Diceros bicornis minor: one gene and its partner. The protein of the gene in region 1 interacts with the protein of each later gene in a biochemical or structural test. Links are inferred from orthologs where the notes say so. Each region holds a gene or a part of one and is shown on either strand. Other genes may lie near its edges.

Region 1 (14,951 bases):
TCGTATGAATGCGCCCTGAGACTACATTAGATGTGTATTAACTCTACAGCACAGAGCCCACTCCTACAGGCTTCGTCGTTCTGAAAGACACTTTTCACCGGCCCATGGCAATTAGCTCTTCTAGTCTCCCTGCAGCCAGAAGTGGCCCTGTGATCCAGGTCCGGCCCCTGAGGCAGAAGTGGAATTCTCCTGCGCGGCTCCTGGGGAAGGTTTTGCTTTCCTGATAACAGAGGCAGGGGCAGCTGGTGCCTTCAGGGGTGCTTCCTGCCGCGTGAGGACGAAACCGATATGCTAAAGGTCGGGGGCGGGGCGTGGATATAGAAAGAAGCATTAGGAACACATTCATTCTAGATGGACCCAGACATTTTCACTCAAAAGGAAACCTGGCAGGTCCCTTTTAGTTCTAAGGGGAAGCAATGAGGGGGAAAAGTTAGGAGCACAGGGTCTGGACACAGACAAATCCCAGTTCAAGTCCTGACTTGAGCACTCACTAGCTGTGTGACCCTGAGTGAATTCCCTAACCTCTCTGTGCCGCAGGTCCTCCTCTGCAGAATGGGTATCACTAAAGCGCCCACCTTCCAGGGCTGCGTGAGGAAGAAATGAGAGAAAGCCTTCCAAGCCCTTTGTATCCTACCTAGCACACAGCAAGCACCACAACAAGCGTTATCAACCACAAAAATATCAACCAGAAAGTTACTGTTTGAAAATCTGAAGCACTCATACAAAATAGATTTTTAAATTGCATACGTGCAGAAGTAATTTTTTTTCAGCCGGCAAACTATCTTGAAGCCTAATTTCCAAATGAACAGCTCTCTCCAGACCGAGCATGGAAAGTTCCATCAGTTTCCTAAATTGCTAAGCTGTCCTTCCTCAAAACCCTGGCTGCCTCTCCCCTGCCATTCTGTAACCACAGGCCACAAGAGGAACCCTAAAATACCTTACAGAAGGCACAACTTCTGCAACCCACAATTTCAAAGTTGAGGTAACTAACTATAGTATCTAACTGAAGAAAATTCCAGTTAGACAAAGAAAGGTTTGTAAAAACCATCCAGGTAAGAGGGAGTGAGGCTGCGAAAGCAGATGCCTGAAGTGGCTGGCCCAGGTGGACAGGACATTCTTTTTTCCTCCCCCCACGTGTGAATGTAAAAAATGTTACTGACAACTCACACACTCTACCAAGAGAGATTTATTTGAAGGGATTGGCTCATGGGATGGTGGGGACTTGGCAAGTCCAAAACCCGCAGGGTAGGCCAGCAGGCTGGAGATCCAGAGCACAGAGGCAGCTCAAGTCCAGAGGTCATCCGCAGGCAGGATTTCCGCCCCTGGGGAGGCCAGTCTTTCTTCTATTCAGGCCTTCAACTGACTGGACAAGGCCTACCCACTTTATGGAGGGTAATCTGCTCTACTCAAAGTCCACTGATTTAAATGTTAATCTCACCTAAAAAATACCTTACAGAAACATCTAGAATAATGTCTGACCAAATATCTGGGTACCATGGCCCAGCCAAGTTGACACATAAAGTTAACCCCCCCGGCGTTTATACTGCATCAGTGCAAACAAGTTCCAGTCGAACAGGGACACCTCTGTCTGTGCTTAAATTCTGCTGGTCTCAGCCTCACATGGTCTGGCTGGCTCCTCTCCCCTCCTGCTTCCCCCCCTTCTCCACCTCCCCCATCAGGAGTGAAGCCCAGGCCCTCCCCGGGTCTTGCACAGCAGCCTGGCTGTCCATGGCACTTTTTGGTGCTCCATCAACTGCTAAGTTTCCCATGTCTGGCATGGCATGGGGGTCACAGCTGAAAAGGGGTGGAGCTGGCACTTGAACCCAGGTCTTCTGATGCAGGGTCCAAGCCCTGTCCCTATTCAGACCACTTACATCCACGTGACCAAAACGTGCTACCCAGGATCACGGGAGGTGGGCTCATGGGCCAACTTAAAGACGTTTTTAGACCTGCATATTTCTTTAATGTAGAATAGAAAAACAAACATGAACTAGCTCATCAGTCATGATTTCAGGGATATAATTACACAGGATGAGGTCAAATTAAAAAAGGTGAGCCCATAAAAGGAAAACACTATGAAAATAAAACTAAAGGTGGCGCATGAAGGACGGAAGTCTGGGGACCGTAGCCTAGATCCGCCTCCTTGGTAAGGAGGTAAAGAGTTAACTTGTCCTGAGTCCCCCTGCTTCTCACAGGGTGATGGCCCCAAGCTACTTAGAAGACACTGAGGGTTTTTGTTTTTTTCCAAAACCAGAGGAGTGGAAATCCGGGACTTGACTCTTATTTCTTTGAGCTCAGTGAGGGAACAAAACCTATTCACCAGCTCCATCCGTGGGGTCAGACAAAGGCTTTAATTCCCAAGTGAGAATCAGCTCCCCCGCACAGCCTGAAACCTGACCTGTCTGTGAATGTGACTGCCACCCAGCCAGTGACTGCTCATTCCCAGTGACACCAAGACCAACACAGATGCTGCACTGGAGCCAGAGCCCTGGGTTGGCACCTTTGCTCTGCCACTAACTTAGACTACACCCCAGCAATGATGGCAACGCCTGTGAAAAAATCACAATAGCTAACAATTATGGATGCTTACTGTCTGGCAGGCACAATAAGGCAGACCTTTACGGTCTTTACGACACGAAAACACAGCAATCCCAACTGATAGGTGCTATTATCGTCCTTATTTTACAGACAGGAAACTGAAGAACAGACGGGTTAAGTAACTTGCCCTGGGAAACAAAGCCAGTGAAGGCCGAACCAGGACTCAGACGATCTGGTCTGACTCAGGAGCTCATCCTGGACGGCTGTGGGTACCGCGCGGCCAGTTGACACAAAGCCCTTCCTGGACATCACTCCCTGTTATCCTGAGGACAGAGACCTGGGCTCTAACCTGGCTCCAGCACTTACAGAGCAGGGGACTGGAGCTCCAAGACGTGAGGGCTCCCCAGGCCATGCTGTGAGAAACGGTAGAGGTCCTGACTCAGTGGCCCCACGGCAGGAGTGCCCTCAAGCATCTCTGATGTGGGTGTTCTGGGACCCACCTGGAAGAACACCGCCCTCCATCACTCTGCCTCTGGCCAGTAGCTCTGACCCAGAGGTCAGCAAACTATGAACCCACTTGCCCATCTCAGTCTGTTTTTGTTTATATGGCCCGAGAACTAAGAATGGTTTTCAGATTTTTAAATGGTTGGGAAAAAAACCCCAAAGAATCATATTTCATGATGTGAAAATTACATGCAATTCAAATTTCAGTGTTCATAAAGTTTGATTGGAACATAGTCACGCCCATTCATGTCTGCTTTTGTGCTATAACGGCAGAGCTGAGTAGCTGCAACAGAGACCATAAGGCCCACAAAACTGGAAATATTTACTTTCTGGCCCTTTACAGTAGAAAACGTTGGCAGAGCCTGGTCTAGTCCACCCTGACAGCAGGAATCTTCTTTACAGCCTCCCTCCCCTCTGGCCTCTGCCTACACCTCCAGTGGCGGGGAGCTCAGTACCAAACAAGGCAGCCGGTCCATCTTTGAAAGGTGCTAGGGACAGCTATTTATGCTGGCACTGAGCTCCTTCTCCTGTAACATCACAGTCTGCCCTTGAGCCTCGTGGAATCAGTTCTATTATTGCTCCACAACGGCCATCAGTCTCCTTCTTCCCTCTAGTATCAACCCTTCCTTGTCCTCATCTGCCCCCTCAGTTGTTCCTCATCAATCCTCTGGGAAATAGAGGGAGAACGGAAGCACTTCTACGTTACAGATAAGGGGATGGGCGATGGAGGGAGTGTGACACAGGCAGGAGCAGAACCGGAGCTGGACCCAGGTCTCCTGCCTCCCAGCCCACTGCCTGCTCAACAACATCGCTTGAGTGTCCAAGTCTGGCTTCCAGCTTATCACACCCAAAATGGCACCCAGAGGGCCCAGGGTGTTCTCCCTTACGAGCATCTGTGGTCTCTCACCTCCTATCCCTTCCTGTGGCTCCCCTGCCCTTTATGGGTCCAAGGAGAGCTCTCTCCATCCACTTTCCCCTTCTCCCGTCTACCCCAGAGCTCAGCTGTAGGCTCTGCACTCTTCTCCCCTTAGATCCAACTACTAGGGGCTGGTCCCCAGGGACTGCCCATATTTACAGTGTCTGCTGGTTGCAGCTTGCTTTAATAAGTCAGCTGGGTCTCTGGCTCAAAGTGCCCAAGCTGACAGCCAGAAATTCAAAATGGGATTCTTGGGGTGCCTTCTGACATCTGTCTACAAAATGTAGCCAGGAAGTTCTGTCCTTGGAGGATACTGGAAAGGGTTTTGAAGTTCTTGGAAGAAGAGGGCTGTGTCAACACCACCTAGTTCTAATGATCTGGGATCCTTTCTGCCACAGGCTGCTGCCCTTGGGAAGCTCTCCTACTAAAAGATAAGGGTGAGTGATCTGGAAATGCACACAGACCCACGTGTGCGTCATAACCAGAAAAGCTAGTCTCTGGGTAGAACAGCAACTGTGGACCTCGGAGCGTTGGACTAATGTAAACTCCAAGTAAGAACTGATCAGCCAGAGGCAATGTGTTGAGGGTGCAGGGGGGGACCTGGGCTCCGAGCCAGAGAAACCCGGGTCTGCGTTCTGACCCTGATTAGCTGGGAAACCTTGGACCTTCCCTCAGACTTACTTTTGGTAAAATGAGAAAAAATAGCAAAACCTTGTGGGGTCACTGTGAAGATTAATACCTAGCATACTAGCACGGTGCCTAGCACATGGTATTTGCCCACAAATGTTACTTTCCTTTTCTCCTTTCTACCCTATTACACGCCAGGGGCCATGCTAGGTGCCAAGGGTCCTGATAAATAAGGTACATTCCCTGCTCTCAAGGAGACACACATGCACAACTACGAACAGAATGGGACAGTGCTCCACGCGTGTGAGGCCAGTGGAAATAATAAAAAAGACGATGATGACAGCAAAGCGGATGTTTCCCGCACACTCGAGGCGTGCCAGGCACTCTCCAGGGAGCGTCTCACTTCATCCTCACAACCACCCTGACAGGCGGATGCTGTCATAACCACATTCCACCCAGGAGGAAGTGGAGGCTCCGAGCCCAAAGGCAGACAGTGAGGAAGCCTGAGGAGCTGGCTGAAGGGAGAACACAGAAGCAATGGCTGGATTGGAAGGGGTCAGGGAAGGGGTCAGGGTACCCCTCAGGGAGGAGATGGAGGAGGTGACGATGCCTGCGACTTTGAAGGAAGCACACAGGACAGCATTCCAGGCAGAGGGTGCAGCAAGCACAAAGGGGTGTGTGTGTGTGTGTCCAAGCGTGTGCGCACTTGTGAGTCAAGTGACACCCCTGATGAGCACCAGTAGAACCCACTGTGCTCAGGGATGCCAATTCTACAGGGCTCTCCTCTCAACAAGGGGATGGAGGTGGCAGGCTTGAGAAGAGATTATGTTACTCCTGCAGCTGACAGAAATACAAGCGGCTAACAGTGGGTCATCAGTAATCACAGCCAATCAGCAGTACTTCCGCCTCTTTATCCACAAGAAAAACACAGACTACTGAGGGCATTAACTCAGATCGCAGCTATTCTTCATTTAATTCTACTTTTAGAGCCTCTTCAGCTTTGGCTCAAGTTTCACTGGTTCTGGGGGAGTTCATCTCAGCTTCACTATCAATTCACTGGGGTCTGGGGTGAGTCAGTCTCCACCTTCCCCTCCCTGGGCCTCGGTTTCCTCTTGTGTAAAATGAAGGGAGTGGACCAGAACAGAGGTTTGCAATATGTGGTTTCCAATCCAGGGGCTTTTTTTTTTTTTTTTAAAGATTTTATTTATTTATTTTTCCCCCCAAAGCCCCAGTAGATAGTTGTACGTCGTAGCTGCACATCCTTCTAGTTGCTGTATGTGGGACGCGGCCTCAGCATGGCCGGAGAAGCGGTGCGCGCCCGGGATCCGAACCCGGGCTGCCAGCAGCGGAGCGCGCGCACTCAACCGCTAAGCCACAGGGCTGGCCCTCCAATCCAGTGGCTTTAGCATCACCTGGGAATTTGCTAGAAATGCAAATTCTAGGGCCCCACCCCAGACGTAGAGGGTCAGAAACTCTAGGGGTGGGGGCCAGCCACCTGCGCTTTAACAAGTCTTCCAGGGGACACTTGAGAGCCCCGGGTTCGAAGGTCCCCAGGGGAAGGACCCTTCCGGCAGTAAAAGGCGGTTTGGGCTCTGAGGTGCTATGATTTAGTAGTATTCTCTCTCGACAGAGTACCTCTTGCCCAAGACTCGAAACCCTTCAGGGTAGAAGAGAAGCTGTTTTCTCCGATCAGCTAAAGCCCAGAGTCCACGTGAACTTTTCTAGAAATCCTCAGGAATATGTGGCTGACTTTTTTTTTTTTTAAATTTTATTTATTTATTTTTTTCCCCCAAAGCCCCAGTAGATAGTTGTATGTCATAGCTGCACATCCTTCCAGTTGCTGCATGTGGGACGCGGCCTCGGCATGGCCAGAGAAGCGGTGCGTCGGTGCGCGCCCGGGATCCAAACCCGGGCCGCCAGCAGCTGAGCGTGCGCACCTAACCGCTAAGCCACGGGGCCAGCCCTGTGGCTGACTTTGAAGGCCAGATTTTTTTTTTTATTTTTAAGTAGGAAGTCTCAAACTTGGCATGTGATGAAAGCAGTGCTATCTGTAGCTGGAGAAATAAAGACGAGAGGAGAGCTGCTTTCTGTTTTCAGCTCCAAAACAATGACTCATTGGTGTGTGTATAGTGTCTTGTGGGGGAGGTCCCGGAGGTGTGTGTGTGTGTAGCGTCTTGTGGGGGAGGTCCCGGAACGGTGGTCCTGAGAGGGCAGCTTCCGCTCTCTGGTCCAGGAGCTTCCTGGTGTGTAAATCCTTGACTGCCACCCCCTTCTTGGAGAGAGGTGATTACAAAACCTCAGAAGAGCCACAAACAGTCATGTTGGACATTACACCACAGAGCTGGGTCCGCAGACTTGAGCAAGGTTTGGCTTCCAAGACGGTAAGAATGGAAAAAATATTTTGTCTAAAAGATACAATTTTCCCAGTCTGGACTTAAGGCTAAAAACCATCAAAAAGATGAAGAGAGAATTTCACAGTACTGCCAGTGGTTTCCTCATGGGAGAAGGAGGCACACCCAGACCGTCCCTGGAGAAGTGTTAGCTGTTTGGGCCAGGGCCTGTGCGTCCTCCCCGTGTTGGTGGGCAGGAATGAGCACCCATGAGACCTACCGCCCAGCCATTTCCAGGGATTTCCGACCCTCGCTTGGTGGTATATCAGGAACAACGATAATAAATACTATGACTTTCTTTTATATAGCACTGGCCATGTGCCAGTCACTGTTCTAAGTACTTTACATTTATTAACGAGTTTAATCTTCACAACAACCCCACGGAGGTAGGGACCATTATTATCCCCTAACTACGGATGAGGAAGCCTGAGCTCTACAGTGAGGCAACATCACAAGACTTGTAGGTCTCCCGTCAACAGGCGGCAAGAGAGTCAGGAGACCTGGGCTCCCAGTAAGCCTGTGTCTCCAGCCAGAGCCCTTGGCTGATCATCTACCGGGAAATGAGGGAGGCCGAAGCAGGTGGCTTCTAAGATCACCTCCAGCCCAGAGAGTCTGCGACGCTAGGCGGTGGGTCTCATGCCAGCAGGTGAGGACTGCCAGGGCAAGCACGTCCTGAGACCCTGGTCGCTAAGGCATGGCCGCCTGGTCGAGCGGGCTCCCCAGCGTCTAGCCCGGGCCCGGGGCAGGCAGGGCTGACCGGCCCCTCCCCGCAGGTCGTCGCCCAGACGCCAAGCCCTGGACTCCTGGTCCTGGGAGAATGGACGTTCAGCCCTTCTCAGGTATCCGTGTGCGGAGAGCCTGGCGAGCAGGAAGGAGACGGCAAGACCCCAGGCGGCGCGACCCGCACTGGAGGCGCGACGCGGGGAACAGTCGAGGGGCGCAAGAATTGCAAAACCGCGCAGACCCTTCAACCCCCCAAACTTTCTCCGTGGAGTCGGGACCACAGTAGCCGCACATTGGCTGAGCCGCGGCCTCCCGAACCCGCCCTCTCTCTTTAGCTATTGGCTGACGTAAGCATCCATCACAAGTCGAGGCTTCCTAATGGACCACGGAGTTTGTCAATCAAGGTGGGAGACTGGGCGGGGCCGGTTCAGGAGAGACACGCCGGCCTCGTTCCCCTCCCCGCCTCCCTCCGGTGTGTGACCGGGGACCCGGAGGCGCCCCGGGGGGTCGGGGCCGGAAGCAGAGCCCTGCGGCGGGGCTGGGCGGGGCTCCGGAGACTCACCGATGCGCTGTCCCACCGGAGAGCTGAACGGGTTCCCCAGGAGAAACTCCATCGCCTCTGCTGCGCTGCGGCTGCCACCAACCCGGGGAATCAGCTGACAGCAACCGCCGGCGCTGCCGACCCGTCACGTGACGTGCCGGACGGTCCGCGAGGAGGCGCCCGTGGGGGCGGGGCAGAGGGAGTGTGGAGCGCGGCCTCAGGCCCCGCCCCTGACGTGAAGGGTTGGGCGTCCCGAGGGGGGAGGGCGATGACGTCACTGCGGCTTACTCGGCGTCGGCGGACGTCACGCACGACGTGGGGCGGTGGCGGACTTGGGGGCGTGGACCTCTCTAAGCCACGCCCTCGACGTTTATTTAAGGTTTAGGGGCGTGACCTAAGCATCTTAACGCATCTGGAAAACTGGGTGTGGGAGCAGGGAAGTGACTTGGGCAAGGTTACGCTTAGACTACAGCTCTCACTCGGCCCTTAGCCCTTCCGACCACACTGTGACTACATACCCGCCGCGGGGGTTGACAGCCTCTCTGGCCTGTTGTCGCCCTGTCCTGATGGGACTTTCCCTATCTGATGTCGAGGTCTCCCTGACGCAACATGTGCCCTGCTTGCTGCCCAGATTCGCTTACCTCAAATCGGAGGCCAGGGCCAGGGGTTTGCGATCTCTTGCCACTGAGAGCCAACTCCATGAATTACAGCTAGGGATGGGCTACCGCCCAGGGTGGCAGAAAGCACGAGTGGGGCCTGGGACCCATCTCTGCTGTTAATTTACTGTGTGATTCAAACAGCGAGTTTCCATTTTCTCTGGATGCTGGAATTAGATCAGGGACTCGTAACCTTCCTCTTTTTAGGTAACAGTCTCCTTTGAGAATTTGAAGAAAGCCATGAGCCCTTCTGAAGAAAAAAGGCAGAGATATAATTTAACTTCAGGGAGGTTCTGGGTCCCTAAAGTACAGCAGTGGACTCCAAAAAGCTCAAAGGCCTTTCCCAGCTTTGTAATTCGAATATCTTCTTCGGCCTTTCTGACTGTGTACCATGTTTTGGATATGTCACCTACACGTTAGATATCTGATCTATTGGTTATGTTTTTTCCTTCCAATGACATGCATTCCAAAAGATACAATAACCACTGCTTTGGTAGTTTGGGCTACTGCAGGGTGCTTTACTATTTATTGATCATGATTCTTGTGATTTTTAAATTTGCAAGGCTGGTAAATTGACTCTGCACAAAATTAGGATGGAAAATCTACATTAGAACTTCAATCACTTTTGTATGTTAACCTGTTCGAGCAGCCATAGGGGCTGACATCCTTACTGTACAATAGAAAAACTTTATGGAAGTCATGTACTCCTGAGCTCTGAAGTGTTTGTTTTTTTTTTGGTGAGGAAAGTTAGGCCTGAGCTAACATCTGTTGCTGATCCTCCTCTTTTTGCTGAGGAAGATTGGTCCTGAGCTAACATCCATGTCCATCTTCCTCTATTTTACATGTGGGATGCCTGCCACAGCATGGCTTGATAAGTGGTGCGTAGGTCTATGCCTAGGATCCTAACCCACTGCTGAAGCGGAGCTCGCGAACTTAACCACTACGCCACCAGGCTGGCCCCCTCCGAAGTGTTTTAATAATGCTCATGAGACCTTTTAATAAACGCCTTCCCTCTCTGGATGCTCTGTGAGGGCTGGGATACTGTGTTTTGCTCACCACTGTTGTCTAGCGCAGTGACTAACATGAAAATTTAAATAATTTACCTTTCAGTAATGGTATTTGGACTATAAAGGGGGATGTATATTTAAGATGAACTTCATGTCAGGTACCTTCCATGTTTTTCTTCATTTAAGCATATGGCTTGGTTGTATGGAGTATATTTAGCACGAATTTCTTTTGGATTCTTCCATTAACAATCTTGAACATTCCCATGTTGGGTGGTGATTTACCAGAAGTTCTTGCCTTCTTGGATCACTCTGGTTTAAAGTGATTATGGGCAGAAGATCTTGGCTTTACTGCCAAGAATAAAACAGACATAAATTTTATCCTTCATGGTAAAAAAGCAGGAACAACCTACATATCCCCAAACACAGAGTGCAGTCATATTAACTCCGTGCAAACAGAATATTATATAGCTATTAAATTAGCAAAGGAAGTGTGTGGATTTTGTCAACATGACAGGAATGTAAATGGCAAATATTAAGTGTAGTACAAAACTGATTAAAACTATGTTTTAAAAGTGTTTGCAAACAAGGAACAAACTCATTTAGTAAAAAGTCTGTCTTAATTTTTCCTTTTAAGTGTTTTAGCAATATTAATATCAAATGCCTTCCTGAGGGTAAAAATGTTTAAGTTCCTTAAGATTGACATATTGCATAAATGTAATGTAATCTATTACATCCTTTAAGTACTTTTGGACAAAAATCAAGATACTTTGCCTCCAAAGTTTAAAGACAATAGTATGACAAGAAAAGTGAGGCCTGTATAGTGAAAGCCAGCTAGGACAAAACAACAGTGGAACAATGAAAAGGTCTCAGATAGTTTCCCTACAATCACATTTGCTCAGGACTATAGATAACAGAGAAGGATTCTGATGAATTACACACACAATTTAAGTGTGAAAGTGGCTTGGGGTAGGAGAGGGCCTAGGCTTTGGGGTCAGCTGTACCAGTGTGCTTATCTGGCTTTGCCATTTACTAGCTGTCTAAACTTAGGAAAAGTGCTTCTCTACATCTGTCTCCTTATTTGTAAAGGGGGATAATACTCATAAGGCTTTTCGGAGGATTAAGTGAGATAAAATATGCACATCACTCTATAATAGTCATTCAGTAATATGGTGGTCTCTTCCTTGCTGCCTCTCCATAAGAAGTTATCCTTTTAATCAATCATAATGTCTCACTATTTATAACTATTAACATATTGTGTTTGCATTGAAATTTTTACCTCGAAAGGTCAAATCTCTATATATTAAATGTTCACAATACTATTAAATATTCATGTCAGACTGGCTGGCTGCAGGCTTGGATCAGGAAAGTGACATTAACACTGTTTTACAGATGGGACTTTGGATGCCTATAAAGATTAAGTGACTTAACCAACATCACTCACTAAGTCAGGACAGTACTGAAACAGTATGAAATATATTCAAGCACGTGATTCAGATGCAACCCTTATATAAGACTGATAGACATTTTCTTGAGTTAGGCCAACACTGCAATGTACATACAATTTCATTTGCCAGCGAATAGAGCTGCACTTATCAGAGCTACCGGGTTTACAATTTGTAAAAGAGAGAACACGAGAGACTCCACAATGTAACAGTTAATAGAAACAGAGCAAGATGTGTGCTAGGAAAATGGCTAAGATCAGAAACTTGACCTCTATTCCAGATGGATTTTTCTTTTTAAGAAAATTATTGTAGGATATCGTGTGAAAAACAGGTTTTATAATTTTGTAGCTTTTTTGGTTAGCAGCAGGGAAAAGATAGCTGAGACTGGACTACAAATAATAAAAATGTGATTTTTAATAATATAAGTACAAAATTTTATTTCTTTATACAACTGTAATGGGATTTGGATCAAACTGCTAGAATTTATTTAAAAAACAAAATAAAACAATGATATAAAAACTGCAAGAAGGTCTGAATCCAAAGTTTTTCCTCTAATAGTACCAAATACCACAAGATACAGATTATTATACAAATGTGTACAAATTTTAAATACAAATACAACAGGGTTGGATTTTAAAGGAAAACAAACAAAAAGCAGGTCCTCATCAGGATTCCATTAATGTGTGCAAATGACAATGGTAGGACTGACTTCTTTCTGTACTAATCCATGCCTTCAAGGCCCCCCTTGATCCCCGTGTCAAACAGGAAACTTCCATGGGTACAGAGAGGGGTGGTACAGGTTCTCACACACGAAATCAAACCAAGATTTCTGCTCTTCTTGATTTTGGTTCCCAAACGTTCCTGTTTCTTTCTGTTTCTCCAATTAAATCTCAGAACTGCTCTGAGCTGAGAAAGGCATTCAGCAGCCAGAATACCTTTAAGAAACACAGCCCGGTGACCACACTGGTGGGGAAAGGGAAGGAATTAAATAGGATGCAGGTTGGCCGCACTGTCCTCAAAGATCTACTCTGATGCTGCAGTGGCTGGTCTAGACCCGGGGAAGAAAGCACGGTTACCTCCGAGCTTGGTTTTGGCAGGGAATCTCACACCTAATTTAAAAACAACCCTGAAGTCTTCTTTGAAACTGGGAAGCAAAAGTCTGGTTCTTTGGAAATAAGGGCAGCTGGGAATGGTAAGTTTCCTTTTTATTTTACTTTCTTGACATTATTGAATTATAAAGAATTAGAATCCTGACATAATGATTCCTTTTTGAGGCACGATACCTTCAAATGTAGATGATTTGGAGTTTTCAGAGGAGACCAGAGGAAGGAAGGAAGGAAGAAATGACAAACCTGTATCTTCCACATGCTGTTGCTGGTGGAGGCTTTTGTTATTAAATTATATATACAGAAATTTACAGGATAAATTAAAATCTAAGAGATTTTAAAGAGTTAAATACACATAATTAAAACACACATTCACACGCGCACATAAATAAATCTACATGAGAATCGAGTACTTTTTTGCAATTCACTTATGTGTGGAATGCAGAACACTGTGTATCTGCCCACCAGGGGAGCCAACAAGATGAACCCAAGAATCATGCTGGGTAAAGTTCCTCTTCCACAACCACCAAGCAACTAAGCAGCAGAACCTCTGAGGACTCGGTGGCTAAGCTAATGCTGCCAATGGACGATACCAGCTCTTAGTTCTGCAGATCAAATATTCTGGGTCAGCTCACTATATATGCAGTTCAACTGGCGGCATTGACAGCTTTACCTCTCCGAGGTGTTTTATGCCGCCAGGACTCACATAACTCCTTGGCCCTTACCAAGGCCACCAACAGTACCAATGATTACAATAAATTTTGAGACACGGACACCTGTATAGCAGGAATTGGAATGAACCCCCTACTAAGTTCACCGAAGCCATTGCACTAACTGTAAGATGGGAACAATTTTATCACCTCCCACCTAGGTCACTTCAAGTTGAAAGGCTTTGTACTTTCAGTCAACTGGCATCTTCCCATAATCCTTCCTACTACGTTTCAGACTGTAAGACAGGTAAGGCAAATGGTCAGTGATGGGTCTGGAGGTACAACTGAGTTTGGAAAAAAATTACATTTTAGCTGTCCATAAAGAGATGCACTTGGCACCCAGAACAAGCCTCCAGTCCCCAAGTTACATTGATTTTTAAGGCAGATTTATCCACCACAGGAGAAAAAAGAATCCCAAGCCCACATTCATGCCAAGGTTTCCTCTTGGCTAAACCTCTGCCATTTCATAAAATTATTAAAAGCAAAGTAGTTACAGTCCTATGTAAATATTGTACATTTTATATATATATATATGTATATATATAAAAATTTAAAACCTACACCCAGAGGCCAGTGAGGGGATCTGGAACAGTCATATACACACAAACCAGCAATGGGGTCGGTAAGGTTTCTGTCCCAGGATTCTCTGCTGTCACAGTCCAGGCATGATGTAAGCAATGTTGTCTAATGTGTTTGACTGCAAAACAAGGGAAAAAGGTTCAACTGAAGAGTACTTTACCTTAGTTCCCCGAGGCACATTTCTTTGTTCAAGGCAGAGAGATGAGAAAGAAAAACCAGAGTTAGAGACAACAGGGGAGAATGAAGATGGCATCCTGTTGTCCGTCATGCCAGGAGCTTTTCTACTGACTGCTCCCATTAATCATGGTAGAAAGGAGGCAGAAGACTCCTGTACTTTCTCTGCGTGAGGAAGAGCAAACAGGAAACACAGGAGTTGCAGCCCTCTAGGGCAGGCATGCTTCTCTTCAAAGGACTATTTTAGGACATGGCATGTCTTCCCGTTTCACCAAAGCAATGGCACACACTCAACAATACAGTATCGTGTTCCATGGGCCGATATGCAAAGGAAGGCCAGGAAGCCTTAGGAGCTTGTGCCTGATAGAGCTCATTCAGGCAGTGCCTCTCTGCCTCCCAAGGAGTTTAGCCCAAAAAATCCAAGGAAAACTCACCAAGACCTGTTTGGGACAGCCATTCAATTCAGGTAGTTGTGTGGTCAGACACGCCAAGGGGCCAAGCGCACAGATGATGGAATCCAGAAGCACGGACAAACTGCCAGACACGGCCACCATGCCCTGAAAGGGAGAGCATTAAAGGGGAGGAACTTGTAACTCGAATCACACTCTGGGTGCTCTCCATGTTCTGGGTGATTTCCTTACAGGGTTCTTTAAGTCTTAGGCAGTTCTATGAAACTTGCAGCAAAAATGGAAGGTATCTGCTTTGATAACTCTGTAAGTTGTTTAAAAAGAAAACTTTTTACAATACACTCCCAGGTTTCCTTTCTATATTCCTAATCCATCTTACCCTCTATGCAACCTTGGGTTAGTCACTTAGGAATAGTAAAAAAAATGCCTATACTTAGAAATAGTAAAAAATGTCTTACCTCCTCCACAGAGCTGCTGGGAAGATTTGTGGAGATCATGTATGCAAAAGTATTTTTCTTATGAACTCCACAAATATAGCTCAAATATGATAACTACAAGAATTCTACAGCCCTATACATTAACATTTAATATAAACACACACATACTTCTCCATATATCTCCATATATGTGG
Region 2 (15,929 bases), on another chromosome or scaffold:
CCACACGTCTGCACCTGCGCTTCTGTGTCTGTCTGCCCCGAACTCCTTAGGACACCCAAGAAGCCCCACAGGAGTGATGAAGCACTGAGGAACAAGAGTCCCAGTGGAGCCGAGCTTCGGAGGGCCACGGACCACCATGAAGCCGACCACTGGTCGTGCCTCCTCCGAGACCCAACTTTCACTCTCTGGGGGTCACACCACCCCGCTGCTGAGGATGCACGCGAAGGGCTCTGGAGCCCCCACAGTGCGGTCTAGGGAGACCTCCTGGTCCTCACGCCCTGTGACCCAGAGCCACCCTGACGGCTTGAATGCAACCTTACGTTCACAGCTGCAAGCACGGCAGGGAGAGCCGGGCCAGGCTGAGGCCTGAGCGACAGAGCAACCAACAACACAAAACAAACACTCCCACGGGACCCCGTGGGGTCTCCACACGCTTGTGGAGAGAGGAACAGCCTGCAGGCCGCAGTGGAGTCAGGATCCCTAGGGGAGGAGGAGCCCCGACACCTGGGACTCCCTCCGCTGGGCCCGGAGCAAGCTGAGCCGGGAGCTGCCCCGCCAAGTCTGAGGAGGCTGCCCTGCCCCAAGGCCCTGCATGGGACACCCGCCACTAGGCTCACCCAGGGCCAGAGCTCAGCATGTCCTACAGTCTGGCCCAGGAGAACTGGCCTGTCCACCAAGAGAGCACACGAGGGGGTGGGGAGAGACGTGTGGGCTGGGACGGAAGGTGGTGGGCAGATCAGCCTCTGGCTCTGATGGGTGGCCTGGCCAGCTGGCCGAATCCTCACTGCTCAGCATCCCACGGCCCCCAGCACACTGTGAAGAAAGGAAGGCACAGGCTCTGAGAGACTGAGCGCCAACCTGCGTCTGTCAGCAGGCCCCTACACTCAACACCTGGGGAGGTGAGGAGCCAGGGCAGGTGAGGGAATCGGCGGCAGGTGAGAAACCTGGGGCAGGTGAGAAACCTGGGGCAGGTGAGGAGCTGGGGTAGGTGTGGAGCCTGGGGCAGGTGAGGAGCCTGGGGCAGGTGAGGAGCCTGGGGCAGGTGAGGAACCTGGGGCAGGTGAGGAGCTGGGGTAGGTGTGGAGTCAGGGGCAGGTGAGGAGCTGGGGTAGGTGTGGAGCCTGGGGCAGGTGAGGAGCCTGGGGCAGGTGAGGAGCTGGGGTAGGTGTGGAGTCAGGGCAGGTGAGGAGCTGGGGTAGGTGTGGAGTCAGGGGCAGGTGAGGAGCTGGGGTAGGTGAGGAGCTGGGGGCAGGTGAGAAGCCGGGGCAGGTGAGGAACCTGAGGCAAGTGAGAGCTGCAGCAGGTGAGGAGCCGGGGCAGGTGAGGAACCTGGGGCAGGTGAGGAGCTGGGGTAGGTGTGGAGCCTGGGGCAGGTGAGGAGCCTGGGGCAGGTGAGGAGCCTGGGGCAGGTGAGGAGCTGGGGTAGGTGTGGAGTCAGGGGCAGGTGAGGAGCTGGGGTAGGTGTGGAGCCTGGGGCAGGTGAGGAGCTGGGGCAGGTGAGGAGCCTGGGGCAGGTGAGGAGCTGGGGCAGGTGAGGAACCTGGGGCAGGTGAGGAGCTGGGGTAGGTGTGGAGTCAGGGGCAGGTGAGGAGCTGGGGTAGGTGTGGAGCCTGGGGCAGGTGAGGAGCTGGGGCAGGTGAGGAGCTGGGGTAGGTGTGGAGCCTGGGGCAGGTGAGGAACCTGGGGCAGGTGAGGAGCTGGGGTAGGTGTGGAGTCAGGGGCAGGTGAGGAACCTGGGGCAGGTGAGGAGCTGGGGTAGGTGTGGAGCCTGGGGCAGGTGAGGAACCTGGGGCAGGTGAGGAGCTGGGGTAGGTGTGGAGTCAGGGGCAGGTGAGGAACCTGGGGCAGGTGAGGAGCTGGGGTAGGTGTGGAGCCTGGGGCAGGTGAGGAGCTGGGGTAGGTGTGGAGTCAGGGGCAGGTGAGGAGGTGGGGCAGGTGAGGAGCTGGGGGCAGGTGAGAAGCCGGGGCAGGTGAGGAACCTGGGGCAGGTGAGAGCTGCAGCAGGTGAGGAGCCGGGGCAGGTGAGGAGCGGGGGTAGGTGTGGAGTCAGGGGCAGGTGAGGAGCTGGGGTAGGTGTGGAGCCTGGGGCAGGTGAGGAGCTGGGGGCAGGTGTGGAGTCAGGGTAGGTGAGGAACCTGGGGCAGGTGAGGAGCTGCAGCAGGTGAGGAGTCAGGGGCAGGTGAGGAGCGGGGGTAGGTGCGGAGTCAGGGTAGGTGAGGAACCTGGGGCAGGTGAGGAGCCGACATGTGCTGCACCTCATGTCTGGCTCTGCCTGGCACCTGACTGCAGGGTGTAACAGTAGGTGGACCAGTGGAGCGAGTGTGACAGTATGTGGGCGGTGCAGAGGCTGAGAAAGAACCAGATTCTGGATCTGCTTTGAAGGCAGAGCCGGCAGGACTTCCTGAGGGATGGAGGAGGCAAGGTCATGTGGGGGTTCTGGTCTGAGCAACACAAAGGATAGAGCTGCCACCAAATGGGACGGGAAAAGGCAGTGGAGGGGGTCTGAGAGAAGGGGCCGGCTTTCCGTCTGCAATGTTCAGAACATTCTAGGGAGACAGCAAGGAGCAGAGGGGCAATGGATCTGGAGTTCAGGAAGAAGGCCTGGGAGTCACTGTCATGTCAGAGGCCTGAAGCCTGGACACCAGCTGACACCCCAGCTGAGATCCCCAGGGGCTTGAGGACAGACAGGAAAGAGGAGGAGCAGGTGGAAGGAAACCCGAGGGAAAGCAATAACCTCAGAGCAGGGAGGGGCTGCTGTCACCTGTGCCCTGGGCGGCAGCCCGAGAGGCCCTAGCACTCCCCCGGGAGAGTTTCCCAACACCTAAGACCAGCTGCTGCCATGCCCTCTGCCTGAAGCACGCTCCCGCCACCTGCAGTTACCTCCCGCAGTCCCTCAAAGTGCAGGCGGCTTCCTGTCCTCAGCTGATGCACCTGCCCCTCCTGGGACCCACAGCCCCGCACAACCCAACCCCCCAGCACAGTCCAGCCACTGTTGAAGCAAGAGGAAACAGTAGGAGGCATGTAGATGGTAAACGGTGCACACAAAACTCCAGGCAGGGAGGGCTAGAAGGAAGAGCCGAGTTTTTTGAGACAAGAAAAATAATTCCTAGGGACCTAGAAGCTCCCACGTTCCAGGACACCCCATAGGCCAGGGCTGGGGCAAACGCTTTACACACACTGACTCAGTCCATCCTCACAAGAACCATGTGAGAAAGCTTTATACAAGAGGACACCGAGGCACAAAGATGCTAACAACTGGCCCAAAGTTAGAGAGCTGTCACTCAAATAATTCACACCAAACACTCCCAGGCAGATTTCACAGCCGCTGTCAGAGGAGAGCAGGGGCCAGAGGGTGCTGAATGCACGGAGACACAGACAGGGGAGGGGAAGGGGAGCCTGAGGAAAGGACGGCAACCACCGACTCCTCAGATGGCAGAATGAGACCTTCATGGACGAGAAGACAACTGTCGCCCAGAATTCCAAACACAGCAAAAATATCTTTCAGGAATTAGAGAAAAGGCACTCATACACAAAAACTGAGAGTTTGCCGCCAAAGCAAGTTCTAAAGGATGAACCAGAAGCAAAAGCAAAGTGCTCCCAGATGGAAGGTCTGAGACGCAAGGAGGGACAGGAAAAGCAAGGAGCCACTACACACGACCAGCAGCACGGAGGCCGGGAAGAGGTCACATGAGGCAGCACACTCATCGGGAGGAGGGTAAATACGATGACTAACCTTAGGTCCCGATAAGCCTGTGTGTTCAAACTTCTAGGATAACCACCAAGAGAACAGAAATACAATATGTATTTTCCAAACCAGTATGGAACAAAAAATTGAATTAAAAAAACTATATTCAGTCAATCCAAAAGAACGCAAGGAGAGAAAAAGAAAACCAGGACAAATAAAAGCACAAAAGGAAGTGTTTTAAAGAAAAAAAGCGTGTGTAACAATACATATAGAACTATTTAACATGTTCCAGTTAAAAGAAAAAGACTTACACTTTGTCTAAGACTCCTCAGAAGTGACTTTCTAAAAATCCAGCCCTATGCTGCTGACAACAGACCAATCCTAAGCATAAATGTTCAGAAGGACGTAGTCAAAGAACGAAAAAAACCCCACCAGGCAAATACTCCCTCAAAGAAAGCAGGCGTAGCCGCCTGGCGTCACACCAGATAAGAAAGGCTCTGCGCGAGGCCAGCGAGGTCGCTGTTCACAGCCGGCTTACAGGAAGACGCTGCAATTCTAAACGTGGACACACTAACGACTCAGCTTCAAAGAATCCTGAGCAAAGGCTCACAGGGACGCGGAGAAACAGGACTCTCCACCAGCTGGTGGGGACGCTCACGGCCCGCCCAGGACCAGGGCCCACAGGAAGGCGCTGGCAGGGTAAGATGGGTTCATCTGAGAAAGAAGAGAGTGTCAGGGACTCGGACAGCGAACGTATGAAACCCACGGGCTTACAACAGTCTCAGAAAGGAGAAAGCCAAACACAATCCAAAAAGAAAACCAACTCCCTCCTCTGAATGTGGGAAATTAAATTAACCAAGCATTTATCTTGCCTTTCCCGTACAAACTACTTCAGGGCAGCCAGACAGCTCTGGTTGTGGAGAAAGCGCATCTTGATGAACAGCCCCAGTTAATAAATGTAGAACGAGTGAGAACACACAAATATCACCCTCTGCCACCCCTAATGAAGTCCCTGGTTCAGCAACAATTATCAACAAGCCAAGGCTGATGAGGATCTGGACAGTCACGGGCCACCAGCACCACCCACAGATCGCCCACAGGGCTCAAGACGGAAAAGGCAGCCTAAAAAGGCAGGGCCTCGCTGACTGCCCCAGAACTTGCAGATCAACCAGCATCTTCAAAAGCGGGACAAGTAGCTGTTATCAGTCTGGGCCCCCAACAGCCTGGACCACCCATCAGCCTGGATCCCCCATCGGCCTGGGGCCCCACCAGTCTGGACTCAGTGGGACACACTCACACATCTATGAAGGAAGCTTGCCAAAAAAGTTGAAGCTGCCCCCGACTAAGCCTCGACTGCCGTCCCCTCGAGCTGACTGCGCCGCTGTGGTTTAAAGCAGCATGTCCTGCAAACCTCCCAGCGTTCTAACTTGAAGGCAGGAGGCCCCCACAATTACTCCTTGTAGGTGCCCACTGGGGCCTCTGTAATATTTTGTGGACTGGACAGAAACACTGGATAGAAAACGGTCGTCATTACAAAAACACTAGCGTTGATAAAGGGGAGCAAACACAGCTCAGGGCTGGGGCATGCCTCAAGGGCCACCCAGGAAAACCTATCCTGCGGCTGTAAACGCCACATCTCCTGAAATTTAAGCAAAGAACCATATTAGCTCTGCGGAAGAAAGAGCAAACGGAAGGCACGGAGTCGGAGTAGCTAGTTTCCCACTTTTCCTCATCACGCCCACCTCAAGAGCCCCCTCAGGCGCCCTGCTCAAGGACAAAGGAATCTCCCCAGCCCTGTCAGATTGTCCTTCCTCCTCCAGCTTCCCAGGAGCTCTGCCTGTCACCGCTTTATCACCAGCGGGGGGCAATGGTCAGACTTCAGAGTCGCCTGAGGGAGCAAGCCTAAGTCCAGGCTCCGGGCTCCCTGGCTGAACGCCAACCTGTGCGGGCAGGGACCGGCCCGAAGGACGGCACGGGGCTAACACAGGAGTGCTGCCCGCCAGGACCTAGCACAGTGAGCACTTGCCAAGCGCCACCTTCACCAGCACCAGCTGGGATCGCAGCGTCTTCCTGTTTACAAGCCAAGCGCCCTGCTCATCCCTGAACCTCGCTGGCACCGAGCACACAACGCAGAGTGGGGGCTCAATCAGTATCAAGCCAAAGCACGCTGGAAAAGGAAGAGCTGTCCAGATGCTAATACCTGGGAAGGGTCCTTACAAGTACTGGTTAACGAGAGGGTTGCAGGCTGGGCGGGAGAGGTGGAAAGTAAAGAGGGTGTGCCAGGCAAAAACGTTTGAAAAACAATTTACACTGTAGTGACCTGATAACACTCAAGGGCCAAATCCATTTGCCAGCCGTCTAGAACAGCACCCGGGCCACACTGGCTGCTCCCTCACACACCAGCACAGGCACTGCCACTCAGGACCCTTCCTCGCCTTCCAGAGCCCGCCACACCCCGGCTCGTCAAGCAGGCCTCTCCCTCTCCATCTCCCAGACCGGCCCAGTTCTGCTTTCAGTGCTCCCCTCTCCCACCCACCCCACAACTCCTGCTCCTCCCTCCAAGAACCTTACTCACTCCGACCCCCACCCAGGGGAGGCCACTGCTGACGCCCAACTCGAGTTAAGATCCACAGACCTGGGTGTGCCCATCACCGCATGGCTCATCCGTGTGTTTCAGGTGCTAGGCATTCCCGTGCCACGCTGTAAGAACCCGACGGCAGGCACCACACCCGGTCCTTCACAGGACTGCACTGCCCAATATACTCATCAGGACCACTGGCAGAATGAGCACGTCACAAGTCCTCCAGTGGCACTCAAGACCCCAGCCACTGAGGACACCTTTCTGGAGCCCCCAGCAGCTCTGGCCCAGACCCAGCGTTACTGCCGTGGACAGGTCACGGAGGCGCCCCAGAACCCCCGCTGGTCCACGTGTGCTGCACACCAATGCACATGGACCACACGAGGCGCTGCAACAGAAAACCCGGGAAGCACCAGACACATGGACCGTCAGCACTCTGGCGGCACGGGGCCCCGGTGGGACTCCCTCTGACGCTCCACACTCTCACGGCGGTCACAGAGCAGAGGTCTCCCTCAGGACAGGACAAGCTGACCTTTACTGAGTGCTCCCTTCGTGCAGACACTGAGCCCCGCATGGCGTGTTGATTCAGCCAGTCCCACCCACCAGCGAGGCCCCGGACCAGGAGGCTGAGGACACGTGACAGGCCTGGCCGGGCGGGGCTGCCTGACCACTAGGCCCATGGCTTCCCCGGGGCTGAGGAGGGAGCTGCGTGCTCAGTGCCCTCGCTTCTCTGAGCAGCCTGCAGTGTAGAAGGAAACGCTGCTGGCAGTCCCTGCTCTAGTTCCCCGTGACAGAGTGAGGACGGAGAGACGGGAATCTCTCTAGGACTCTGGACGCTTCCACACCGAGCCCGACAAGAAGTGTGGGTCAGGTCCAATTCAGAGCCCTCAGGACGAGCGTCTGGGCCCAGAGGGGCCCCTCCCAAACCCGGGACTTCCTGCACACTCAGGAGAAACGTCCTGTGGCGCGGATTCCTCCCCAGCCGGAGAGACACAGCAGGATCCTCAACACCCGGCCTCGAGGGAGGGTGAGGAGCGCTGGTGACCCGGACCTCCCGAGTGAGGGCGCTGATACTGTCCATCAGAAGAACCTTTCTCCCTACTCAAAAGGACCAGAATGTTCCTCTGCTGCACGTTTTGAGCCTCTGTTGATAAGAACCTCACTGCTCATGACAACCCGACCCAGCCCAGTGTGAAGGAGCTGCTGGGGGCCACTCCCCCGGAGCCTGCTGAGCGGGTCCACACCCGTCCTCCTGCCACGGCACAGTCAGCACTGAGCCGCATGGAAGCCCCGGGATGAGAGAGCTGGGGGTCAGAGGGCACTCCCGGGTTCTCGGCTCCCATCCTTTCATTTGCAAATGAAAACGCTGAGGGTTTGAGCAGTGGCCACTAACCCGGGACACAGCTGGGCCTCTGAGCCTCATTCTGCCCGGAGGAAGAGAGGGCGTCTGGGGACCCAAGAGACCATCGGGGTTCAGGTCCTCCTCTGTAAGGGCACAGTCTAGGAGCAACGTGCCTCCTCCATCTGCGGGACTGACTCCTGTGGGGGGCCTCCTCCACCTGGGGACTATCCGGGGTGCAGGGGGCCTCCTCCATCCTGGGACCCACCCAGAGTACGCGGATCTTTTCTACAAGGCGACCCACTCGGGGTGCGAGATCCTCTTCTGTTGGCGGACCCACCCTGGTGGGTGGCCTCCTCCATCCGGGGATCGTCCGAGGTGCGAGGACCTTCTCCGACGGGAGACCCACCCTGGTAGGGGGCCTCGTCCATCCGGGTACCCACCCAGGCTGCGAGATCCTCTTCTATCGGGGGACCCACCCTGGTGGAGGGCCTCCTCCATCCGGGGACCGCCCAGGTTGCGGGGACCTTCTCTAACGGGGGGACCCACCCTGGCGGGCGGGCCTCCTCCATCCGGGGTGTGGGGGCTCCTCCAACGGGGACCGACTCGGCCCGGCCGCCTCCCCTCGCTCGCCCCGAGCCCGCAGTCGGCCTCCCGGTGCGCCCCGGAGGCCGCGAGCCCGCCCGCCGCCGCAGGCCGCCTCCCACCCGGAGCTCACCGGGCCGCGCTGCGTGCTGACGGTGGTCGCCATGGCGCTGCGCCGGCCCCGCCGAGAGCTGCCGCGCCCGCGACCCACGGCGCCGAGCCGACGGTTGCGCCCGCGAGGCCGCCGCCGCCGCCGCCACAGTCAGCTGACGTCGGCCCCGCCCCCGCGCCGTCCGCACGCCCTTTCCGGCACGCACGCACGCACGCGCGCTCCCGGCGGGCGCCTGCGCAGTCGCTCGCCCCGAGCCGCGGCCCCGGGAAATGGCTCTTGAGCTGGCGGTCTGCGCATGCCCGCCGGCCGCCCGCGCCCGGGGTCAGGGGCCTGGTCCGAGCCCGTCGTCGGCCGGCGGCTCGCGGAGCCCAGCCCTGGGGACGACGGGTCTGCGGCCCTGAGGGGGCGGGCCCCGGGCGGAGGGCCACCGTCCGGAGGCCCCCGGGAAGGAGGGCGGCGACACCACGAGGGGCGGACTGGCGCCCGCGGGTGGATGTGGCTCCTACCCGGGGCACGTGTCACCCCCAGCCCTGGTTTTCCCTGTACCCTCTCCGGGAGCAGCGTTTACGTTTAAGTTTCAGAAACCAGGAGTCAGGGCGCGTGTGGGCTGCAGTTCTCGGAAGACGCAGGGCCTGCGTGTTCCGGGGACACCGGGCGGGCCAGCTAAGCCGGGCTCCCACCCGCGGCAGAACTGAAGCGTGATCATCGACGGTGCTTCTTAGGGGAATTACCGACATAAGCAGAAATAGGGTGCTATTTCTAGAATATGCTGCTTCTCCATGTATGTGTCAGGGATGAGGCCTAAATTGATAATCCCAGCTTCCTTCCTCCACCGTCGTTTCACGGTCCCCTTATTCTCTGCCCAGCCCTCAGCCCTATCTACCCCCAAGCTGCAGGAGATAAGGAATTCCTTTCAAGTCTCCGTAGAGGCTTCCTTATTTTCAGTCAGAGAAAGAGGGGAGAAAGGCCTCCCTTGTGCTGGGCCTGGAGTTCTGCTGTTGAACATGAGCAGTTTCACAAGATCAGACAAGTGACTGTCAGTAGAAAACCACGACCACTCTGTAATCGTGTGAACACAGACAAAAGACAAACACCGCCCAAGCCCAATGACAAACACCTCCCTATCCTGGCTGATTGGCCAGCTGCTGCTTACCAATTACACCTTACCCTCCCTCCAGTCTTCTCTCCTTCTAGATAAGAGTTATTAAGAAGCCTGATCATAGAATTACCCCTGTGTCCAGGCTCCAACTCGTAATGGCACATGTCGGCCTCGGCATTCGTGGAACATCCTAATGTACCAAGAGCCCCAGACGGGTTTTCTGCACAGCTTTGCGTGGGATTCTTTGAGTAATGAAAATAATAAAATAACATTTCTGAGTGCTTCATCTGTGGTAGGTATTGTTCTAAGTGCATTATACGTATTATCTCATTTATTTATTTATTTATTTATTTATTTATTGTGTGTGAGGATGATCAGCCCTGAGCTAACATCTGTTGCCAATCCTCCTCTTTTTGCCGAGGAAGACTGGCCCTGGGCTAACATCTGTGCCCATCTTCCTCTACTTTATATGGGATACTGCCACGGCATGAGTGACAGGCGGTACGTCGGTGCGCGCCCAGGATCTGAACCTGCAACCCCCGGGCTGCCCAAGCAGAGCGAGAGCACGTAACTGCTAGGCCACGGGGCTGGGCCCTGTGTTATCTCATTTAATTTACACAACAATGCTATGGAGTCCATGCTTTTGTTATCTGCGTTATAGATAAGGATGACAGACAGATGAACACCAGCAAGCAATTAATGTCTACAGTGTATAAACACCTCCCATACGTCACAAGGGAAAAGGAGACCAGAAAAGTGAACTGATGTTGAAAATTGGCAGTTCAGGGGCCAGCCCCGTGGCTTAGCGGTTAAGTGCGAGCGTTCCGCTACTGGCGGCCCAGGTTCGGATCCCAGGCGCTCACTGACGCACCGCTTGTCCGGCCATGCTGAGGCGGCGTCCCACATAAAGCAACTAGACAGATGTGCGACTATGATGTGCAACTATCTACTGGGGCTTTGGGGAGAAAAGGAGAAAAAAAAAAAAAAGGAAAATTGGCAGTTCAAGGAGGGGAAGCCCAGATGCTTGACAAGTATATGAAGGGGTGCTGGAACTCGTGAAGAATAAGAGAAATAAAACAGCAACTAGGTACCACTTTTCATCCATCAGAACAGTAAAAACTAGGAAGGGTGGGACATCAGGTCTAGGTGAGAACTGAAGCGATGGGAAGCTCTTGTGTCGCTGGTAGGCCTGCAGACTGGAGGAGGCTCTCCAAGAAGCAATGCAGCCGTGCTTAGCAAACTACATGTGCTCCATGAGCTCTCTCCTGAGAGATAGGCTGGAAACATCCTCACACTGATCCACAAGGGAACGCAGTCAAGGCTGTGTGTTGCACGGTTGTTTGTGTAGCAGAAGTTGGTAGTCTAATTAGTCATCTTTGCAGGAATGAATAAATAAAGTGCGATGGGTATACACTGTGGAATACTACGCAATGGGGAGAAACAGTAAGTAGATGTTTGCAGAACAACTTGTACACGTTATTCGAATCCACACAAAATATATTAAGCAGCCGTTTTCAAGACACTGGACATCCGGCAATGAAGGTCAGCGGTCCCTGTGAGACAGGAAACAAATGAGGTAAGCCCTAGGGCTTCCTCTGTGTACAGCCAGGAGAGAGTTTCCAGGCCGCTGTGCAGGGAGGGGGAACTGAGGCCAAGACCAGTGGTCTCCCTGAGCCGAGGCTTGGCTGAGACGTCAAGGAGACTTGGAAGGCAGCGTTGGCGGGGCGGAGTACCAGAGGGGAGAGAGTGGCACAGAGAAAGGGCAACGGTGTCCGCAGGGGCTCCCCCTGGAGCCTGCGGCTGAGCACAGATCAGCGAACACCGTAAAGTGATAAAACTGCCCAAGGCTGGGGAAAGAACCCCTTGAAAGAATTACAGAAGTAATACCACTAGCCCACACAGGGCCAGTGGTAGCTCCCGTTCCCACCACTCATAGTAAAAAGGCACATGACCCACGGGACGCTGAGTAGAATACTCGAAGCTTTGCCCAAACGCTGCCAAGATGAAGGGGTCATCTTACAGCGACGCAGGGATAAACCTATCAAATGGACGTAAAGACCCTAAAAGTTTATACGTCTGGAATACTTGGAGCAAAAACTGACAGAACTGCAAGGAGAAACAGACAAGTACACGACTGTAGTTGGAGATTTCAACACCCTTCTCTCAACAGTCGATAGAACAAATAGAAACTGAGCAGGGTATAAAAGACTGAACAACACTATAAACCACTTGACCTGATTGGTATTTATAGAAAACTCCATCCAATAACAGCAGAATACACATTCTTAAGTGTACACTGAACATTTACCAAGAAAGACCATATTCTGGGCCAAAAAACAGTCTAAAATGATTCAAATCGTACAAAGTATGTTCTCTGACCAAAATGGAATTAAATTAGAAATCAGTAATAAAGATCAACAAATCAATAATCAATAATAAAGGTGCCTGGGAAATCTCCAAAATATTTGGAAACTAAATAACACACAACTAAATAACCCATATAACAAAGAAACCAAAAGGAAAATAAGACCATATTTTTGAACTGAAGACACATCGTGTTTTGTGGGGGTGCAGCAAAGCAGTAGGTAGGGGCCCCAGGCCGGTGTTAGACAAGAGGGAAAGCCTCAAGTCACTGACATCAGCCATCATCTTGTAGACTCGAGCAAAAGAAGAGCAAATTAAATTCTAAGTAAGCAGAAAACAAGGAGGAAAGAAAGGTCATTGAGGAAATCAGTGAAATAAAAAACAGAAGAACAGAGAAAATTGTTGAAAACAAAAGCTCATTCTTTTAGAAGATCAATACAATTGATAAACCTCTGGGCAGACTGATCAGGAAAAAAAGAAGACACAAATCACCAATACGAGGAGAGAGAAAGTTGGCATCACTACAGATTCCACAGATATTAAAAGAATAGCAAGGGAGTGTTATGAACAGCTTCACTTAAATGAAATGAAATGCAGTGAAATAGACAAATTCCTTGCAAGGCACGAATTAGCAAAGTTCAATCACGAAGAAATTGATAACCCGAATAGTCCTTTACCTATTAAAGAAGGTAAAAACCTTTCCACAAAGAAAACTCCAGGCTCAAATGGCTTCACTGGTGAATTCTACAAATATTTGAGGAAGAAATAACATCAATCCTACACCAGCTCTTCCAGAAAATAGAAGAGGAGGGAATACACTCCAACTCATTCTGTGAGGCCAACATTATGCTGGTACCAAAACCAGACAAAGACATTACAAGAAAAGAAAACTGCCAACCAGCATTCCTCATGAGCCACAGCACAAAATTCTTAACAAAACTTTTGCCAAATAGAATTCATCAATATATAGAAAGAGTAATACCTCATGACAACATAGCATTTATTTCAGGAATGCAAGGGTGGTTTGACACTTGAAAATCATCATCCAATGTAATTTGTACATTAACAGAGTAAAAAAGAAAAACAAGATGACCTTCTGAAGAGAGGCAGAAAAGCGTTCAACAAAATCCAAGCTCCATCCTAGGTATTAACTTTCTGCGGAATAGGAAGGGGAAGGGAGCTCCTTCAATTCGATACAGCATATCTACCAAAAACATGCAGCCAACGCTTGATGGTGAAAGACTGAATGTTTCCTGTAAGATCAGGAACAAGGCAAGGATGTTCTCGCTCACTACTTCTATTCAACGTTGTAATGGAGACTGTAGCCAGGGCAATCAGGCAGGAAAAAGAAATGAAAGGCGTCCCAGTTAAAAATAACAAGTTAAACCTTATTTAGTCACAGACAAAATGATTGTCTTTGTGGAAAATCCCACAAAATCTACAAAATAGCTAGTAGAATTAATTAGTGAGTTTGGAAGTTTGCAGAATTTAAGGGAAGTAAACACAAATCTATTGTATTTCCACATACTAGCAATGAACCATCAGAAATTGAAATAAAAAACAATACCATTTACAATAGCATCAAAAAAATCAAATACTTGGGGGTAAATCCCGTGGATTCATGGTGTAGTTGAGTCCAACTGTGTCCCGACTGATTTTCTGCCGACTGCATAGCCCATTTCTTAGAGAGGGTTGTTGAAGTCTCCATCTCTAATTGTGGATTCGCCTGTTTCTCTTGCAGTTCTGTCAGTTTTTGCCTCACATATTTTGACACTTTGTTGTTAGGTGCATACACGTTCAGGATCATTATGTCTTCTTGGAGAAGTGACCCCTTTATCATTACATGATGCCCCTCTTCTTCCCTGATAACTTTCCTTGCTCTGAAGTCTTCTCTGTCTGAAATTAATATAGCTACTCCTGCTTTCTTCCGATTAGTATTAGCATGATACATATTTCTCCATCCATTTCAAAATGGGTCCTTTGCCCTCCCTCTGCCAGAAGCACAGCGGATTTCTCTCCGATATTTGCTGTGAGAACCTGATGGAGCTCCCGGAGGTAAATCTCACAATGTCGTGGGGCTCCTATGACGGGGTCCCCCCGGAGTTTTTGTCTCTCGGGCTTGTCCCCACCGAGCCTCCAGCTGCTCAGCAATTACAGTTCAGGTTTCCTACCAGCACTGGTTCCCGTGGAGACAGCTGCTCCAGGGAGCCCTGACTCCCTGTGCTCACCTGTCTCTCTCTCCAACTTGGGGGCAGCAGCTTGCCCTGTGACCTCACTTGTCCTACGGATCAAAGAAGGTTGTTGATTTTTGTTTTGTTCAGTTTTCCGTGGGTTTTTTTTGGTGAGGAAGATCAGCCCTGAGCTAACATCTGTGCCCATCTTCCTCCATTTTGTATGTGGGACGCCACCACAGCATGGCTAGATGAGCAGTGTGTAGGTCCGTGCCCAGGATCTGAACCCGCAAACTCTGGGCTGCCAAAGTGGAGGGTGTGAACTTAACCACTACACCACCAGGCTGCCCCTGTTTTGTTCAGTTTTTCACTTGTTGTTTGGACGGGTGGCGACGTTCAAGCTTCTTACATGCCGAACCAGAAACTACAAATTGGTTAATTAATTTTTGACAAAAATGCCAATGCAATTCACTGGAGAAAGGATAGTCTTTTCACAAAAGTGTAGGATATCCATATACAATTAGGTTTCCATATGCAAAAACGTTAACCTTGATCCATATCTTGCATCATATAGAAAAATTAACTAAGAATGAATCACGGATCTGTATGTAAAATGTAAAAATATAAATCTTCCTCAAGAAAACAGGAGAAAATCTTTGTAATCTTGACTTAGGTAAGGATTTCTTAGCTACAACAGCGAAAGCCCAATCCATGAGAGAAAAAAAATGATAAGTTATACCTCATTAAATTTAGTAGATTTTGCTCTTCGAAAGACACTGTTAAGGAAATAAAAAGACAAGCCATAGACCAAGAGAAAATACCTGTGAATCATATATCTGATAAAGGATTTGTATGCAGGATATGTCAAGAACCCTTCAAACTCAGTAACAAGAAAACAAACCACCCAATTAAAAATGGGCAAAAGATTTGAATAGATACCTCATCAAAGAAGATATACGGACGGCAAATAAGCACGTTAAAAGATGTCCAACATATTAGGCTTTAGGGAAATGCAAATTAAAACCGCAATGAGATGCCACTACACACGATTAGGATGCTGAAATGAAAAAGACCGACCTTACCAAGTACCAGTGAGGAAGTGGGAGAGCTGGGACCCTCATGCACTGCTGGCAAGATGGTGAAATGGTGCGACCCCTCTGGAAGGCAGGTTAGCAGTTTCTCAAAAGGTTTTGATTCCTTGTTATTGAGTTCCTTAAGAGAATAAACGTATGCCTGCCAAATGATTCCACTCCTGGGTCTTTCCCTAAGACAATGAAAGCACACGTCCTACACAGAATGCTCACAGCGGCTTGAATGGTAATGATCTGACACTGGAGACCACTCGAATGTCCATCAACCTGTGCACAGACAGATGGGGGTATATCCACCCAACGGGATGCTACCCAGCGACAGAAGGAATGGGGTCTTGCCACAGACAACAACACGCATGAATCTCAAAATAATTTTGCTGAGTGAAAGAAGCCAGACGTAAAGGAGTGCGTACTGTATGGTTCCACATGCTTAAAATTCTGGAAAATGCAAGCTGACCTGTGACGTCATAAAGGGGATCCGTGAGGAGGGGCGGGCAGAGAGAGGGTGGAGAGAGATGTGGGGGAGGACGACAAAGGGGCACAGGAAACTTTTGGGGGGTGACACATTCATTATCTTGATTGTGGCGATGCTTTCCGGGTCATTTGCAAAAGTCAAAACTGACCACTTTAAACGTGTGCAGCTCAGTGTATGTGAGTTATATCTCCGTGAAGAGGTTTAAAGAAACACAGAACACCACATGCTTCACAAAGGCACGTGCACAGTAGGGGGTGTGTTCCCCGTGCTCCAAACAAGCTTAGCAGGTACATCAGGGCTTTGGGGAGTCCACGAGGGACGAGAGATGGAAGTACAGACAGGAGATGGCCACTCGCCAGTGATGGGGAAAGTGAGAAGGATGACCGACCCCGCTCTGCACCTGGGACCCCCAGAGGTTACAGCACAAAAC

Evidence for each region.
Region 2: the proteins of TOM1 (region 1) and TOLLIP form a complex in vitro, tested with the Homo sapiens proteins (3 studies listed by BioGRID and IntAct, with this or other methods). The link is inferred for Diceros bicornis minor from reciprocal best matches to the Homo sapiens genes TOM1 and TOLLIP.

What each region holds. Positions count from the first base shown.
Region 1 is NC_080764.1:14,275,568-14,290,518, forward strand, and holds the start of TOM1 (target of Myb1 membrane trafficking protein), read right to left. Parts: upstream 8,395-14,951; 5' UTR 8,313-8,394; coding exon 8,261-8,312; intron 1-8,260. Other genes in the region: HMGXB4 (HMG domain-containing protein 4), read right to left, coding at 13,813-13,857, 14,348-14,470.
Region 2 is NC_080770.1:698,871-714,799, reverse strand, and holds the start of TOLLIP (toll-interacting protein), read right to left. Parts: upstream 8,403-15,929; 5' UTR 8,354-8,402; coding exon 8,321-8,353; intron 1-8,320. UniProt on the Homo sapiens protein: Component of the signaling pathway of IL-1 and Toll-like receptors. Inhibits cell activation by microbial products. Recruits IRAK1 to the IL-1 receptor complex. Inhibits IRAK1 phosphorylation and kinase activity.